4 linked regions of the Rattus norvegicus genome follow. The protein of the gene in region 1 interacts with the protein of each later gene in a biochemical or structural test. Links are inferred from orthologs where the notes say so. Each region holds a gene or a part of one and is shown in the gene's direction. Other genes may lie near its edges. The genes, in order: Fyn, Faslg, Mapt and Eno1.

Region 1 (4,047 bases):
ACCTATAAAGAAAATCAGGAAGGCGAAGTGTTTCTTTTTATGAAGTTACATCCTGCCATAGAAAAGCTGAATCGGAAATAAAGACCGACTGCATACCAACCCAGTTATTATTTCATCAAGGAAAATCTGAGTAAAAAGCTCAGCCCAGCCACCAATGAAAACAAGAAAACCAAGAGAAGTTTGAATGCATCGAGAAGCCAGACAGGCAATGGCTACTCTAAAGAGCTAGGAAAGCGCCCAAGCATCTCTACTGTGTGGTTTGGAGGTTCTTTGTTGCAGGCCCCTTGAATTTTAGTCATACTTCCTCTCACGTTTCCTGATGTGTGTGTGTGAACATGAACATATTTGGGTGCTCAAGAAAATGAGACTAGCAAATTATGAATTTCTTCTTCTTATTATTCGTTGCGCATTTGTTGGTTCGAGCTTTCCCAGTTTCTGCACTGGTACTTCTCTACTTTGCTCCTCACTTCTCCAATTTGCCATCGCCCTTCTTAACACCTTTCCACTTTATCCTCCCACTCCTATTTCTTTGGAGAAATAGGTTCCCATGGCTGTGAGGCTCGAGTGGCAGGTGCCAGTCTCCACTAGCAAAGTAGGAAAGCAGCTCGTTCCCTGCGCTCTCTCCTGTCCACCCCACCAACTCGCAACTCCACAGGATCCTCAGACACACACCTCCTCCTTCTCCTCCTCAACCTCGCATCCTCTCGCACACCCTGTGGCCCTGCGCACGCCAGGCTGCCCGCCACCACAGTAACGCTCAACCCACTCGGCGGCCCCACCCATGGCCGTCCCGCCTCCGACGCGCGCACCAATGGCTGACTGCGCTCAGCCCTCAGCGGACCCTTTGATAGGGCAGAAGGAACTGACAGTCTCGGGGCGTGTCCCGCCCCCTCTCGAACCCCTCGGGATCCGGAGCAGCCCGAGCATCAGCGAGAGTAGCTGCGAGAAGCCGCGGCGGCGGCGCGTCGGTGCAGTTGCGCCATCTGTCAGGAGCGCAGCCGGCGGGGAGGGGGCTCCGCGGAGAGGAGGAGGGGTCGCTGTGCGCCGAGCCTCCGAGACCCGCCCGCTGATCAAGAGCGCAGCGAGGCCGCCTCTAGCCGGAGCGCTCCGAGGACTCCCCGGGCGCACACAAAGCCGCCGCCCGCGCCAGGGAGGGACTGGGCTGCCGGGCCGGGGACACCGGCGCCGCCCCCTCGGCGCTTCGCGAGGCCCACGAGCTCCTGGGCCCGGCCGCGGAGCCACCGGAGCCGCCAGGGCCTCGCCGGAGGAGGGCGGGGAGAGGACCATGTGAATGTGCTCCGGAACCGAGCGCCACGCCACGCAGGTAAGCGACCGGGGATGCGCGGAGCCTCGGGATGCTGCGGAGACGCCCGGCCCAGCGCCCCCGCACGGGCTGCCCCCGCTGCGGTCCCGCCGCGCAGCCTCCAGGGCGCCCCGCGACGCAGGACACTGATGCGGGGTGCCGCCCGGAGGCTGCGCGGGCACCGGGGTGCCATTCCTCGGCCGCCGGCAGGCGCCGGGTGAAAAAAATAAGAATTGGCTTGGGGGCGAGGTTGGCCCAGCTCCGCCTCCGCCCTCCTTTCGCAGCCCCCCGCGGGGACCCGGGCTGTGTGTGTTGTTTTAATGTCAGGGATGATGTAATCACTTAATAATTGATGCCCGGTGCTGCTTTCCTCCCCACCCAACCCCTGCCCCACTCCTCCACCTCCCGGCCTCCTCCCTCGGCGGCCCTTGCCTTCCCCAGCGCATCCTTCTGCCTATTTCTGGAACCTCCCTTGCACTTCCCCCACCCTCCCCTTCACCCTTCCTGTGCTGCCACCCACCCACCCTTCCCCTTTCCCCTGTGTCTGGCCTTGCCTTTTCTTCCTCTGTCCCCCACCCCTTCGGCTTTCAAGCTTATTCCTCCTCCCTTCTGGACTCGCTGGATTTCCTCCCTACTTCCCTAGGTCGGTAGATGGTTTTGTTTGGTCTCCTCTAGGCTCTCTTATCTCTGAGGCCACAGGGACTGGGCTAGAAAGAGGCCACCAAGCTTGGGCCCAGGAGGCATTGGCTGGGACTCACTGGGAGGAGGGATAATAAAATCACCCATTTTGCCCCTCCTTCCTCTAATAAATCAGACTCTCTCTCTCTCTCTCTCTCTCTCTCTCTCTCTCTCTCTCTCTCTGTGTGTGTGTGTGTGTGTGTGTGTGTGTGTGTGTGTGACACAAAGAGCCCTTTCAGTTCATAGAAAAGAGACACATAAAGTCCCCAAGGCACCACCATGCTTCTTGTCTCATCCCTGGGGCTTCCCTTTCTTTCTGATGAAGCAGTTGATCTCTAGTCCTTTCTGCCACACTCACCAAAAAACGAAGGCTCCCGATCCCGGGTGGCAGGTGCACTTATTTTGCTGTATTCCCAGGGTGGTGGCATTGAGTGGCAACTGCAGTTTCCCCTATTTAAGGGAGGAATTATTTCAGCTGTTTTAGGAGTTGCTATACTTTCAAGGAACCCTCCTTCCATCCCTCGTTTTCCTCCCCTTTCTTCTTGGGGGATAGGTACTGATACCTGAGACAGGATAAATCAATGGGTGGGGGGATCAGAAGAATTTTGTGTCTGAGTCAGAATCAGTTCACCAAGAGTGAGGCAGCCTGACTGGATTCTCTAAAGTCCAAGGCCGCTTTGCTGAATGAAGTCTTTTGAAATGTGCTGTGGTGTCCAGCTATGCTCTTTTATTTAAGTGACCGGGGCTGTGGCATGAACGCACTTGGGCTGGCGTTCGGAAGACCCTGGAGGCACCACTTGTCTGGTTCAAGGGTGACTTTGGATGCCCACATCCTCTCAGCACCAAAGCAGCTTACAGTAGTTTTCACCCTTTGTGCTCAGTCTCCCTGCCCCTGCCCCTGCCCCACGAGTACCATGCCCTCAGACTTGGGAGGAAGTGGTTTCAACTCTCAAGCTTTGGGGCTAGCTGACTATGAGCCGGGGGTGTAGATGACTGGATTCAGAACCCATGATGTTCCTCTTAAGGTAGAGATATTCATGTAAATCTCAGACATAGTGTGTCAGAAACTTTGGTGTAGTCTGCTGATTCCTGGATCATGTTGTGGGGCCTCAAGTGTTCAAAGTAACGGAACTGTCCCAAGTTTACTTTTTAGCTGTTTTATCTGAAAAGAGTTGTGATGAATTAAGCTGACATCCATTGTGGAACATACATACATACATGTACACACATATACATACATACACATACATACATGCACACACATATACATACACAGATACACATATATACACATACATACATGTACACACATATACACACATATACACATATACACACATATATATACACACACAGATACACATATACACACATACATACATGTACACACATATACACACATACACACACACACACACACACACACACACACACACACACCATACATACAGCAGAAGGGTTAATAATGAATGCTCTCTGGAAACAAAGGCTGGTTTGTTGGGATGCCAAACCCAGAAAGGAAAGTCAATACACAATAAACTCACACTGTACTGACCAAGTCAGAGGCACTTATTAATAAGGTTAAATGAGTGTGAGCAAATGCCCTCTATTTTCTGACGGTCTGGAGTCCCCACCTCTTCTGATGTTCTGAAGCCCAGGCCCAGCACAAATGTTGTCTCTATTCTGAAACCTTCACCGGCTTCTCTGCTCCAGCCAAGCCACCATGTCTCCAAATTTGTCTCCCAACACCATCGTCAGAGTCTGTTTTTGTTTATTGTCCATTTCTGCCACTGGGTCGAGAACCTAATCTGGCTTGTCTCATTTTCATTGGGTTTTACTCTGGTTGGTATTACTTGGTGGCTTCATTTAATGAGCGACAAATATGAATCAGATCAACGATACATACGTACGTACGTACCCAGCGTCTTTTAAGAAGACTCATGTTAGTAGCTATAGTAGGCCTGAGAATGTATCATGGTACAAAAACACAAGAGATTCGTCTGTGCCCCTGTGATAGCACCACATACGTGTGTTTCTGCTCAGAAGGGGGCTTGCTCCTGTACAAT
Region 2 (4,029 bases), on another chromosome or scaffold:
CACTTTGGGAGTTTTTCAGCATAGGCGAGAGAGGTAAGGTGCTCATCCCAGACATCCCAACGCAGAAGATAAAAACTAAAACCTCTTAAAGAGTAGAGTTGCCCCCCCCCCAAAAAAAAGGTGGAGTATAGGAACTTACTGGGATTTGTATGGTTTATATGGGGAAGTGATGGGAACCAAGGCTGAGTTCTTAGAGGTTGTTAGGCATACATAAATGCTGTGTATGTGGGGCCAGAAGACTGAAATCAAACCTAGGGAGTGGTCAGTTTTTAGAAAGGCATAAATTTGCTGTAAATGTTGAGTAATGCTCAGTCTGTCCTGTGCGATGCTTAAGGTACACTTGCTATAGAAAAGAATTATTTACCGCTTACCCAAACTCTTCTGAATTAGGCACTTCAAGTTTCATTTGGTAACCAGAATAGGGATTGTGAAGTTAAATGATTACAGAGTAGGAAGGGGAAGTGGGATAGGAGGCAGGCGCAGTGGGGGCAGGGCTGCCTGGTGTTCAGAGATGGCCAGGGGATGTGTCCTACTCTTCTGTTTCCAAAGAGAATAGAAGTACGCATTTTTATTGCGTGCGATCTCAATTTTGAAAGAGGGCAACTAAGGGAACCAAAAACATTGGTGATAGGAAAGCAATCCTGTGGTACCAAGGATATATGGGCCTGGTGGTGGTTTGTAACCTCTGATCCAATCTGTGGAATGGGTGGGGCGACTTTTACCCTCTCAACTATGAAATGGGGGCTCGGTAGAGGGAAGGACAGCAATTGAGGATTAAATTCCCTGTGCTCGGATTGTAGAGATCGCTTCCCTAGCCAAACGCCTTGGTCTTTTCCCAGTGCCTTAGCACCAACAGCCCTCACAGGACACACCCCATAGCACAGGTCTTGCAGCTGTGGAATAGCTAATGTCCTCTAGGGGTATCCAGCGCTGATTTGCTGAGTGGGACCTCAGGCAGGTAAGCCTGGTTTACCAGTGAGCACAGAGATGCCAATTGGAACTTCGAAGAGTTTTCGTCAGAAATTTGTGGGCGGAAACTTCCTGGGGTTGCTGTGAGCTTTTTTTTTTCTTTTAAGGCTTCTCAGCTTCAGATGCAAATGAGTGGGTGTCTCACGGAGAAGCAAAGAGAAGAGAACTGGAGAGAGGTGTTTCCCTTGACTGTGGAAACTTTATAAAGAAAACTCACTTACCTTCTCTGGAGCAGTCAGCATCAGAGTCCTGTCCTTGACACTTCAGTCTCCACAAGACTGAGAGGAGGAAACCCTTTCCTGGGGCTGGGTGCCATGCAGCAGCCCGTGAATTACCCATGTCCCCAGATCTACTGGGTAGACAGCAGTGCCACTTCTCCTTGGGCTCCTCCAGGGTCAGTTTTTTCTTGTCCATCCTCTGGGCCTAGAGGGCCAGGACAAAGGAGACCACCGCCTCCACCACCACCTCCATCACCACTACCACCGCCTTCCCAACCACCCCCGCTGCCTCCACTAAGCCCTCTAAAGAAGAAGGACAACATAGAGCTGTGGCTACCGGTGATATTTTTCATGGTGCTGGTGGCTCTGGTTGGAATGGGGTTAGGAATGTATCAACTCTTTCATCTACAGAAGGAACTGGCAGAACTCCGTGAGGTAAGTCTAGCACATGGGTTAATAGGCCCTTGAGTTCCTGGACTCTGCTGTGTGGGAGTAGGGACTTGCTATGGCCCATGTGGGCCACTGTGTTGTTTGCAATGATTTGAGGTTTTTGCTGTTGTTTTGTTTTGAATGGCAAAGATCTTATTGATCCCCTCGCTTTTAGAAAAGAGTTGTTATAGTCTCTTCTTTCTAGTTGGAGAAGCAGGCGTTCACTCCCTCAAAGAGAGTGATCCTCACTCAACCTGTGGGTCATGACCCCTTAGTGGGGGAGCCATTTTATGGCTGGGGGTCACCACAACATGAGGAACTGTATTAAAGAGCTGCGGTGTTCCCTTGAGAACCACTGCTCAAAGGAAGTTATTTTCCACCTTCTAGACAATTCGAAGCAAATAATTATTCTTCTCTCACTTGTCAATGGTGTTTGATGAACTTTTTATTGCTTCATATTTAGTGATTCAAGGAAGAAGATAAACTTTAAATCTTGTTCAGAAGTGTAAATAAATCTCTTTGAAAAGACTTAGAAGCCTTACTATAACTCTAGATACAATTGCATGGCCAAACTCTAACTCAGTCAGGGTCTGACATATTTGAGTCCTCTTTCTATGGACTGCTGTGACTTCTGCCTCCTTGGCTTAAATAACTCCACATTTATTCTATGACTCTTTTTTCCCCCCCACTAGTTCACCAACCACAGCCTTAGAGTATCATCTTTTGAAAAGCAAATAGGTAAGTACTTTTATGTCTGTCTTTTGAGTTCCCGGAGGAACTCAACACTCAACAAAGTTGTGAGGATGCTTGAGATTCCGTCCCATTCTTGGGCTCATGATTCCTAGGCACAAAATCCTGAGGAACTTTTAACTCTTTGTTCAGTGTGAAAAGGTAGTTTACTGCTCAATATCAGTGTATCTGAATGAATATCGAACGTAACTCAATAGAATTTGGACTTGACTGGAAAGGAGCACACATACAGCCCTGGATCTTTTCCCTTGGCTCCTTCCATGGATATCTTGGTCCCATCTTACATTGTGGTGACTGTGACTCCTAAGGACAGAGGCAAAAATACTAGATGCACAATATTAGACCAATTAGGTTCAATGCCCAGCTTCCCTGGTATGAAACTGGGGCTAAGAGAACAGTCCCCTGACGCCTTGCTATCTATTAAGACTTTACAACGCACAGAGAAACTCCCACCTTTCAATAACGGCTGAGAAATGAGAAGCAAATGCAAAGCTGGTGTCTCTTGCAAGGGCAACACAACAGTTTTATCCTAATAACTGAAGAAAACCGAACCTTCCATCAAAAGGAGTGCTGGCTCCACACTCAGTGCGGCTTGGTCTTCATGTGGGTCCCTCAACAACTGGAGTGGGGGCTGTCCCTGAATCTGTTGCCTTCCTGTGGATCCCACTCCCCTAACTGGGCTGCCATGTCTGGCCTCAGTGGGAGAGGATGTGCCTAATCCTGAGTGACTTGATGTGCCAGAGTGGATTGATATCGGGGGGGGGGGGATGGGGGTGGGGGTCGCTCCCGCTTCTCAAAGGAGAAGAGGAGGGGTAGGAGGAGGGACTGTGTGAGGGAGGATGGGGGAGTGGCTGCAACCCGGATGTAAAGTGAATAAATAAATTAATTAATGGAAAGGAAGGAAGGAAAGAAAGAAGGAAGAAAGAAAGGGAGGAAGGGAGAGGGAGACGGAGAGGGAGAGAGAGAGGGAGAGAGAGAGACAGACAGAGAGAGACAGGAAGGAAGGAAGGAAGGAAGGAAGGAAGGAAGGAAGGAAGGAAGGGGATATAAGCTCTTTCAGGGGTCACTATGGTGTGCTCTGGTTTTCAGCTCTGCATTCAAGTCTCTAAGGACCAGAGCCCAGTTTACACAGGCACAGTGGAAAATGACTTGTTAGAAAAATGAAACTTCTCAGGATTTCTGAAATGAAATCATTTTGAAAATCAGTGGAGCGTGGCTTATGAAACAGATGGCACTCACTCATTTTCACCCACTCGATGGAATCATTTTAGTGAAGAGAAGTCAAATGAACAGATGAGTCAGGTCGCCTACCCAGTGGTTATCTTCAGAAATTGATAAACCATCACAAGAACGTCAAAAATTGAAACTTTACTATTAAGAGGAGCTTATTTAAAAAAAGGAGTATTTATTTCTTCAATCAAATTCATAAAAAGAAAAAAACCCCAAAGATTATCAAATGAGAGAGAGAGAGAGAGAGAGAGAGAGAGAGAGAGAGAGAGAGAGGAAAAGCCACGTTTGGCACAAGTTTCATCCAGCATGCATGGAGATTGCTGTAAGAATTCTGAAGAACACTAAGAAAGTTCATACCGAGGTCTTGAACTGTCAGTCTACCTTGTCATCGCATCACCGAAGGGTTCTTTTGGCTGGGAGTGTTCATCGCTTT
Region 3 (4,205 bases), on another chromosome or scaffold:
AGTGCAGCAAATGATCTTAACTGAGCCATCTCACCAGCCCAGGTGTTTGTTTGTTTGTTTGTTTGTTTGTTTGTTTTGAGACCCACTTTCACCCTGCAATCCAGGCTGGCTTGGATTCCACTATGTAGCCCAGGCTGATCTTGACCTCATGCCTCAGTCTACATGAATGCTGGAATTACATATGTGAACCAGCACACGGAGCAGGCACAACATTGGAGGTTTTTAAACAATAGCTGGGATAGCAGTGTACACCTTGAATCTCAGCACTCTAGAGGCAGAGGCAGGCAGGAGGATCTCTGTGAGCCCTAAGCCAGTCAGGGCAACATAGTGAGAACCTGCCTTGAAAAAAAAAAAAAGCATGCAAATTTATGCTTCAAATCAAGTTTTCACCTCTCTGGCAGGAGGTGCCTGCCTCTCTTCCTTGCATTTGAACAGGCTCCAGCTGTCCAAGAGCTTTGAGCTTTGGGGAGGTAAGAAAAGAAGCTAGAGCCACAGCCCACACCTTAGGTGACTGGAATGAGAATTAGTGGGTAGTTCCAACCGGAAGCCTGACATCCAGCAGGTGGCCATCTCCAGCAGGCACCTTAAAAATTCAGCTCTCAGGCTGTACAAAGGTGTCTCAATAAACCGTATAAAAATAACTCTGTGAAAATGTCTTGCAGTGCAGTAAGCATTAGAACTTTCCTATTTTAAGAATTTTCTTCCCTAGGGTCACAGTTAAGATACCTAATGGGTTTGAATGCTCCTTGACTTAAAATTTTTTTTCCAGGAAAATTCTAAAGTGTATTACGATCAACTTAATCTGTTTCAAGAGGGTTCTTCAAAGAAATCATTCACTTTGGCTATTAACCAAAAAAAGAAAAAAAGAAAAGCAAGCAAACAGCTGCCTCTGGGAAAGTGCGCTCTATATGGAGGGCCACATTTTGGGAGACTCGAGCTGCCTGTAGCACTTGGGGTCCAACGGTTTACCACCTGGAGAGCCAGCGAGGATGAACTGAAAAGCGGACGACGACCCGCACACCGTTCTGCCTGGACTCTGCGGGGACCGAGGGAGGAGACCCCTGGACTAGACAAAGGCTGCAGCCCCGGGCGGCCGGGGTGCGCGTGCGCCACGGAACGCGCGTGCGCGCGGCGGTCAGCACCGCGGCCCGAGGCGTGGCGGGACCCGGGAAGGGAAGCGCGGAGAGGGGCGAGCCGGGCGGCGCGGAGAGGGGAGGGCGTGGGGCGTTCGCGCGCGCCCCCTGGCGGCCGGAAGGGGAGGTGCCCACACAGGCCTCGCTGCCCGCCCCTCCCCTGGGGAGGTTCGCGTTCCCGTGGCTCGCGCCTGCGCTGCCCGCCGGCCTCGAGAACGCGCTCTCTCGGCCGCGCGCGCGCTCACAGTCTCCGCCACCCACCAGCTCCAGCACCAGCAGCAGCGCCGGCGCCACCGCCCACCTTCTGCTGTCGCCGCCGCCACAACCACCTTCCCCTCCGCTGTCCTCTTCTGTCCTCGCCTCCTGTCGATTATCAGGTAAGCGCCGCAGCTCTGAAATCCGGTCCCCTTCTGCCCCTGTGCGCCATCCTCCTGCCGCCCCTCGCCCCAGAGGTGGATTTAGGGCGCTGGGCATCAGTCAGGCGCAACGGCGGGGGCCTCTCTGCGCCCTCGGCGCTGGAGAGCTGGGAAGGAACGCGTGCAAGAGATGCACGCACGAGGGCGAATGCGTGTATCTATGAGTGCTGGGGTCCGCACCATCGGCTCTGCGCAAAAGAGGGGGAGGCTGTGCCCGCAGGGTGGGGCGCGGATGACGGTGACCTAGGGAAGGGGTTGTTCTATAATCTAGATATCAGCTTTTTGCCGCAATGGGCGTGGGTCTGCGTGTGTGTATGGGGGTCCAACGACGACCCCCGAAACCAAATCTAAAATCGGATTTCTCTGCCTCGATTGCCATCAGCCCTAAGGAAGGTGTGGATCGGGTTCTAGAAAAGATGACCGCCTTCATGCCTCTCCTCCACCTCCCTGACAGTGATTCTGACACGGCCTTCACTGGCCCTGATTTAAGGCGGTGGCCCGCCCCCTCCCCTTTTCCTCCTTCAGAAGCTGGAAGGGGACATTTGGGGGCTGGGAGGATGGGGAGGGGTCCAGGCGCTGTCACTTTAGCTGCCCTTCCCCCTGCGCGCGCTTGGTACAGTGACAGGGGCAGCGCCGTGCCCGAGAGAAGGTGGTGCGCGGATCGCAATGTGGGAGCTGGAAGAGGCAGGGGTCACCTGGCCTCGCGGTGTCAGCGGGCTGGCCAGCAGCGGCTCCCAGCTCGAGGGCGCGCAGCGTGGCAGCCAGCATAGACCCACATGAGGGCTGCAGGTGCATTTTCGGGGCGCGTTTCTTTCTCTGCGTTCTGCGCTGAGTTCCCGGCGTGTGCGGCGCTCCCTGCCGGAGGCGCGGGCTGGCGCGCAGGGCTCGCCCCTCACTGCGGCAGTGGGTGTGGACCTGGGTGGGCGAGAAGGGGGGAGTAGGTTGTGTCTCCTCCCGCTGCCACCCCTCCTCCGGTTTTTTCCCCTTCTGAACGCGAGGTGCCATCTTTTCGCGGCGAGTCACGTCTCTATCGTAGCATGCCAAGAGCTGTGGCCGGGCTTTGGAGGACCCGGCTTGGACCCATGTTAAGGAGCAGGAGGGTAACGAACACGGAAACCTTGGCGTTTTGCTTCTGCAGCCGTGCGCACCCGAGCGTTCACCTGCGGTGGTCTAGGGGAGCTCCTTGCTTTGTTCGTCTTGTGATTTAGGATCTGCGCTCTCAGCCCTTTTTTTTTTTTTTTTTTTTACGGGGGGCGGGGAGCTTTTCATTCGACGAGGGTATTTGCCTACGAGCTCTGAGCAACTCCATCCTTTTTTTCGCCACTCATTTCAGACCCTTTGTTGGATCTACAGACTTGCTAGGGTCTAGTCACAACCCCCAGGGCACGCATGGTACGGACATGACCCCGCGCAGCCCTCTCCCCAGTTCGACCCAGAGCCACATGGGTGAGATTCGAGATGGACTCTCGTGAGTAGGAATCCTCAGAGGAAGCACATCTCTCCCCACACCCAGGCAGGCGGTCTCGAGGACCACACCCCATCGTGTTTCACTGCTAGGGGAGCCAGCTAACCCTCGGGAATGGGGAGATTCCGCAAGCTCGACTCCCCCTCCCCCACCGCCACCTTTGAACCCTGTTGCCTCTCCCGGTGGGAGAGTGTGAGGAAAGGGTATGAGATCCCCTGGGGTGCTGCGGCCACACCCATCCCTCCCAACCCACAGAGTGGGGTTTAGGGGTTGCCATAGGAACCACACCAGCCAGAGGAGGAACCTCTAGGCGTTACCCCGCCCCCCTCCCGCCCCTTACTCCGCAGAGATTCAGAACCCTGGGGTAGTCTGATGGTGCCAGAAGACGCGAGCAAGGAGCCCCTCATCCCTAAGACGAGCATCATTCTTTCGGGCACTGAGAACCACAGCCATCCAGATAGATGCTAGTGTATTTTTATTATAAGCGTACTGATATTATTTTATTAATATTACTAAAATGAGGGGCTTTCACGTAAAAGTCCACATGTACGACAGCCCTTGAAACCAGAGAGGGATAGAAAGCAAACAGGTATCAGCCTCCACACCCTACAGTAAGCTCGAGGTTTTCTGGTTAATTCTACCGCTGAATACTGGTGCGGGCGAGCAGTTTTGAGACCCACGAGCTCCTTAAGGGCCGAATTGCCCACATAGGCTGCCTAGATTGATGTGCATTTCTGAAAATGTCTCGGCTGGGGTAGGAACGCCCTCTCCGAGTCAAACCGCGGCCTGAGGCTGTGGCGTCGTGGCTGAGCCTGCCCCGCAGAGATTTCATGAGCATCTGAAAGATAGGTTCAAATATGACCCATCTCTCACCACACGACGGGCTGCTGGAAGCAGGATTCTTAATCTGGAAGAAGCCAGGCTCTTGGGGTAGACGCTGAAAAGGGGAGCCTGGGAGGGAGGCTGTCAATAGCGACCGGTTGGGCAAAGGTGTCACAGTTCTGTAGGTGGAAGATCAGCGGGAGGGGGAGAACATTTCACTCAGCGCAGAAACAAAGCTCGGACCACGCACGCGCTTCGAACTCTCTCCCATTTTGCACTGTGTTGAGGGGTCGAGTGAGGTACTGTGCTCTCCAAGGCTCGAGTTGTCAATGGAAGATCGTCGGGTTGCTGCATGATCCTACTGCAGAG
Region 4 (4,072 bases), on another chromosome or scaffold:
TTGTTGAGACAGGGTTTCTCTTTCTTTCTTTTTCTTTTTCTTTTTTTTTTTTTTTTTGAGACAAGGTCTCATTGCTTTGTCCTATCTAACTTAGAATTCACTATGTAGACCTGGCAGGCCTTGAACTCAGAGATCTGCCAGACTCTGCCTCCCGACAGCTGTGGTTAAACACCACCTTTATTTTCTTTATCAGAAAAGTAAAATGGCTCCACCCACCCCTTCCGGACATTTGTCACATCACTTTGTAGTATCAGTCTAAAGCTTTGAGAAATGCCTCGGGACTACATCAAACCCCAAACTCTAATCACGATTATGGATCTGAAGAGTCCGGGGAGGTTTCATCTAGACCACTGATGGGGGAAAGGTATTATTAAATCTTTCAAGAAGGGGACAGTAACAGAGATAGAGAATGAATCCACACTGAGCTAGCACATCGCAGAAAACAGGGAAAGTTCTAGAGTAGGGTGGAGTGGCTGGGTGGGTGTAGCACAAAGGTACTGCCTTTACTTAGCATGAGTTGGACGGTAGGATTCGGTATCCTCCACACAATAACAAATGAGTAGGTAATATTAAGGGAAAGTTTACTTTCCTTTGGGTAACTCGGCCTGAGACTCATTACAGAAAGGACAAAAGGACGGGGTCACCTTGGCAGATGGCACCAGAGAGCCAGGACCAGACTTGGTGGAGGCGGGGGGCGCCCAGTGCGCAGGCGCAGTAGCACATGCCCCCCCCTCCGTCAATTCCACGCGGGAGTGAGGCCCCTAGGCCGCGCATCAACGTTTCCACACCGCCGGGGGCTCCAGCACCTCCCGGCGGGGGGGGAGGCCCACAGGAAGGCCCAGCCCTAAAGGTCATCAGCAAGGTCGTGGGCCGGACGTGAGGCGCTGCAGCCCGGCCGAGTGCGTGTAGGACTCGGAGTACGTGCCGCGGGCTCAAGCCCTCATGCCTGCCGTGCAGCCCCGCCCCGCCCGGCATCCGGGCTCTGTAGACCCTCAGCTAGGCCCCAGGTTCCCAGCCGGAGGCTCGCCCGGCATTCCGCCTATGCCTCAGGCAGGCGAGGCCAGCCAGGAAGGACAACCCCCGCCCCCGTGCCCTTGCCCCTAGACCGGGCAGGCCAAGCGGCCGCCTTGGTCACGCTCTTCTCGTGGAGTGACGGCAGGCAGAGCCAATGGAGTGGCGGCACGGAGGGTGGGCGGACTCGAAAGGGGAGAAGTGGGTGGGGCCTAACGAGCAGGCTAGGAAGTCGGAGTGGGAGGCGCTTAGTGCTGCTCCGGTACCGAGTCGCGCTCACGTTTGTCCTTAAGACTCCCTTCGGTGTCTCCAGGACCCTCTTTCCTTCCTCCGCAGCGATCCTACTGCCAGGTATGGTCCGTGTTCCCCTTGGGCACAGCTCGCCTAGGAACTCCTCTTGGTGACCCGGTGAGCTCGGTCACCCCCTACTCTGGGCGCGAGCCGCTACCCTGGGAGCACTCGGGTCAGCCTCGTGGAAGGACGCAGGCTCTTGGAGGGTGGAGGTGCAGGCCCTCGCAGTCACCACCGAGCTTCAGGGTTGGAATGTAACCGGGTACCCAAGCGGACAACAGTAAATGCAGGCCACGGATAATCGCGGCCGTGGAGAATAAAAAAGTACTTGTTTCTATGTAGCTAAGTGGAAGGTTTTTGAGGGAGAGAGCGACTTAACCCCCGCCCCGGTGTTCATTAAATTTTTTCTCAAAATGGAAGGGCGATAAATAAGGATGCCCAAGAGGCAGAGCGCCCCACCCTAGTAGATCCTGCTGGGGCTGTGTCTCCTGAACCGCAATCGAGCGTCACTGGGCGGGAGTGGTCCAACCCATCTCTGCTCTGGAATATTACTGACCAGTGAGTGTCGGTTAGGTACTTGTAGTAGAGGAAATTGCAGCAGTCCCGTTGAATAAGTGGGAAGCAAGCCCTCAGGAGACCTCGACCGAGTTAGGCAAGAGCTGCGGGCTTACTGGGTGGCTACTAGTCGTAAGAAAACTTCCTGTCCTTTCTTGCCTAGACAATGTGGTCCCTTAGCTGACTTGCTTTCGGGGTAGGCCAGAGCCAGTCTGAGGTGATAAGCCTGACTGACCTCTAGATCCACTTTCCTGCCCTTAGTCCGGCGTTCAATCCCGATAGAGCGAGTGGGTGAGGTTTTCTTTGATTAGAGACCTTTGCTGCCTAGCTTAAAGATCCAAGCTAGATGCAAATGGTGGAAGGGGGGACCAACTCCTACAGGTTATAAAGCCTCTGCAGAGCGCCGCGGTGGCACGTGGCTCCCGCGCCCCCATAAAGGAACCAGGCCTGGTGATGCACACTTGAAAATCTAGCGCTTAGGGATGCTGAAGATGGGGATAACCGAGTTCGGGTCAGCTTGGCCTACATAGGAAGTGCAGGTGTGAGATTTTATAACAGTGGATAAAAAGTGGGTACTTTATTCCTGGTTAGTGAATAAAGGTCCTTTGTCTTAGAGAAGACAAGCACAGAAGTAACTTATATTGAAACAAAAAGTATGCCTTTGCTTCCTTGACCTCACCAGAAAAGGTGTAGGGAACCTATTTAGATAACAGCTTCCGAATGCTAATTGTCTTAATGTCTCATCCAATTTAGTTCTAGAAGCCGTTTGGTAGATTCCTTTCTTGGAAAGCCTGCTGGGGAAGAAGTAAGAAAGGGACCTTCTTTTTAGACTTGCTGTTTGTTGCTCAATATCCTCTTTCTCTGGGGTGTTTTCTAATTAGACATCTACTTTGGGTACCTTTTAAAGGCGAGACAAGGTCTCCCTTTGAAATAGAAGTCAACTCTTGCCTAAATATGGCGGCCATTGAACCCAGGACCGCCCACGTGTTAGGCATCTAGCCTGCATGTGCCACCGGGCTAGAGAATGGCAGTACTGATGACCACCAGCCAAGGAGTTTGGGATTCTGCCTTCCTCTCACAATTTCTTACTGGTTATCAAATCTGTGTCTGCTGAATGTTCTGCCCTTGCCATGGGTACAACTTGATGAATTGGGGTTTCTGTTTCCACAATCACCCTGCTTCACAATGTTGCATTTCCCTCCGGTCTACAGGTCTGTTTAATCGCTGACCTGCCTTCTCTGTTACTTCCCACTTCGCTGCGCAGCCAGAACATAGTTCTGTCCAGTTTGTATTTACCTAATTGCCCACAGAACACTTAGCTTCAGAGGGCTATAAGTGACTTCTGTACGTAGCCCACTTGTTCTCTGTCCAGGTCCAGGATCTTGGGGGTGATCTCTTGGGATAAATAAACCTTCTATATTAGAGTTTATGGGTAATATATGAACTATTTTCCCCCTACAGAACTTCACCATGTCCATTCTCAAGATCCATGCCAGAGAGATCTTTGACTCCCGCGGGAATCCCACCGTTGAGGTGGATCTCTACACCGCAAAAGGTACACGAACCCACATTATTTCCTGGTCTCTTGCACCACAGTTTATTGATAATGTGATGGGGAAGCAAGGCAGAGTCTGATCTACTCTGATCCCTCTGAGCCTTCCACCCACTGAGCCATCTGCCACCATGTCTGGCTTTGCTTCTTGGTATTTAAGACAGGATGTGGGTTGGGTAGGTCACCGGGGCAGGGAAGTAAGGGAGGGCTTAAGCCCTGGCTCCTGAAGAAGCCTGGCCTCCTGATCGGATCAGCCAATGGAGGGGGAAGCCTTCTCTCCCCACATGAAAGGAAGGAGACAGCCCGGAAGCTCTGCTTTTTCCTCTAGGCCAAGCTACCCATGGTGAGGAACTCGTGTGTTATAAGGGAGTGGGGATATAGTTTGGCAGAGCATTTGCTTAATATGTGGGAAGTCCTAAATTTAAATCACAGCATTGCAAGGAGAGATTGGCTGGGTGTGGCAGCGACTACCATAAATCTCAGCACTTGGGCCTGCTCAGGAGGGAGGATTGCCAGTTTTGAGACTAGCCTGGGCTACATAGCAAGGCCCTGTTTCTACTACTCAGAGACAAAACAAAAAAAAAGCCCACCCCTGCTGATTCCAGCATCTAGATGTAGAGATGCATGTAGTGGGTGCCATAGGAAAGAGGCCTGGGGAAGATG

What was found.
Region 2: the proteins of Fyn (region 1) and Faslg form a complex in vitro, tested with the Homo sapiens proteins (4 studies listed by BioGRID and IntAct, with this or other methods). The link is inferred for Rattus norvegicus from reciprocal best matches to the Homo sapiens genes FYN and FASLG.
Region 3: of the proteins of Fyn (region 1) and Mapt, one has a biochemical effect on the other in vitro, tested with the Homo sapiens proteins (10 studies listed by BioGRID and IntAct, with this or other methods). The link is inferred for Rattus norvegicus from reciprocal best matches to the Homo sapiens genes FYN and MAPT.
Region 4: of the proteins of Fyn (region 1) and Eno1, one has a biochemical effect on the other in vitro, tested with the Homo sapiens proteins (2 studies listed by BioGRID). The link is inferred for Rattus norvegicus from reciprocal best matches to the Homo sapiens genes FYN and ENO1.

The regions. Positions count from the first base shown.
Region 1 is NC_086038.1:44,321,450-44,325,496, forward strand, and holds the start of Fyn (tyrosine-protein kinase Fyn), read left to right. Parts: upstream 1-1,214; 5' UTR 1,215-1,291; coding exon of another isoform or gene 1,292-1,324; intron 1,325-1,503; exon of another isoform or gene 1,504-4,047. UniProt on the Homo sapiens protein: Non-receptor tyrosine-protein kinase that plays a role in many biological processes including regulation of cell growth and survival, cell adhesion, integrin-mediated signaling, cytoskeletal remodeling, cell motility, immune response and axon guidance.
Region 2 is NC_086031.1:76,692,685-76,696,713, reverse strand, and holds the start of Faslg (tumor necrosis factor ligand superfamily member 6), read left to right. Parts: upstream 1-1,210; 5' UTR 1,211-1,283; coding exon 1,284-1,622; intron 1,623-2,308; coding exon 2,309-2,354; intron 2,355-4,029. UniProt on the Homo sapiens protein: Cytokine that binds to TNFRSF6/FAS, a receptor that transduces the apoptotic signal into cells. Involved in cytotoxic T-cell-mediated apoptosis, natural killer cell-mediated apoptosis and in T-cell development.
Region 3 is NC_086028.1:89,637,246-89,641,450, forward strand, and holds the start of Mapt (microtubule-associated protein tau), read left to right. Parts: upstream 1-1,379; 5' UTR 1,380-1,510; intron 1,511-4,205. UniProt on the Homo sapiens protein: Promotes microtubule assembly and stability, and might be involved in the establishment and maintenance of neuronal polarity.
Region 4 is NC_086023.1:166,002,111-166,006,182, forward strand, and holds the start of Eno1 (alpha-enolase), read left to right. Parts: upstream 1-1,250; 5' UTR 1,251-1,362; intron 1,363-2,610; exon of another isoform or gene 2,611-2,662; intron 2,663-3,318; 5' UTR 3,319-3,327; coding exon 3,328-3,412; intron 3,413-4,072. UniProt on the Homo sapiens protein: Glycolytic enzyme the catalyzes the conversion of 2-phosphoglycerate to phosphoenolpyruvate. In addition to glycolysis, involved in various processes such as growth control, hypoxia tolerance and allergic responses.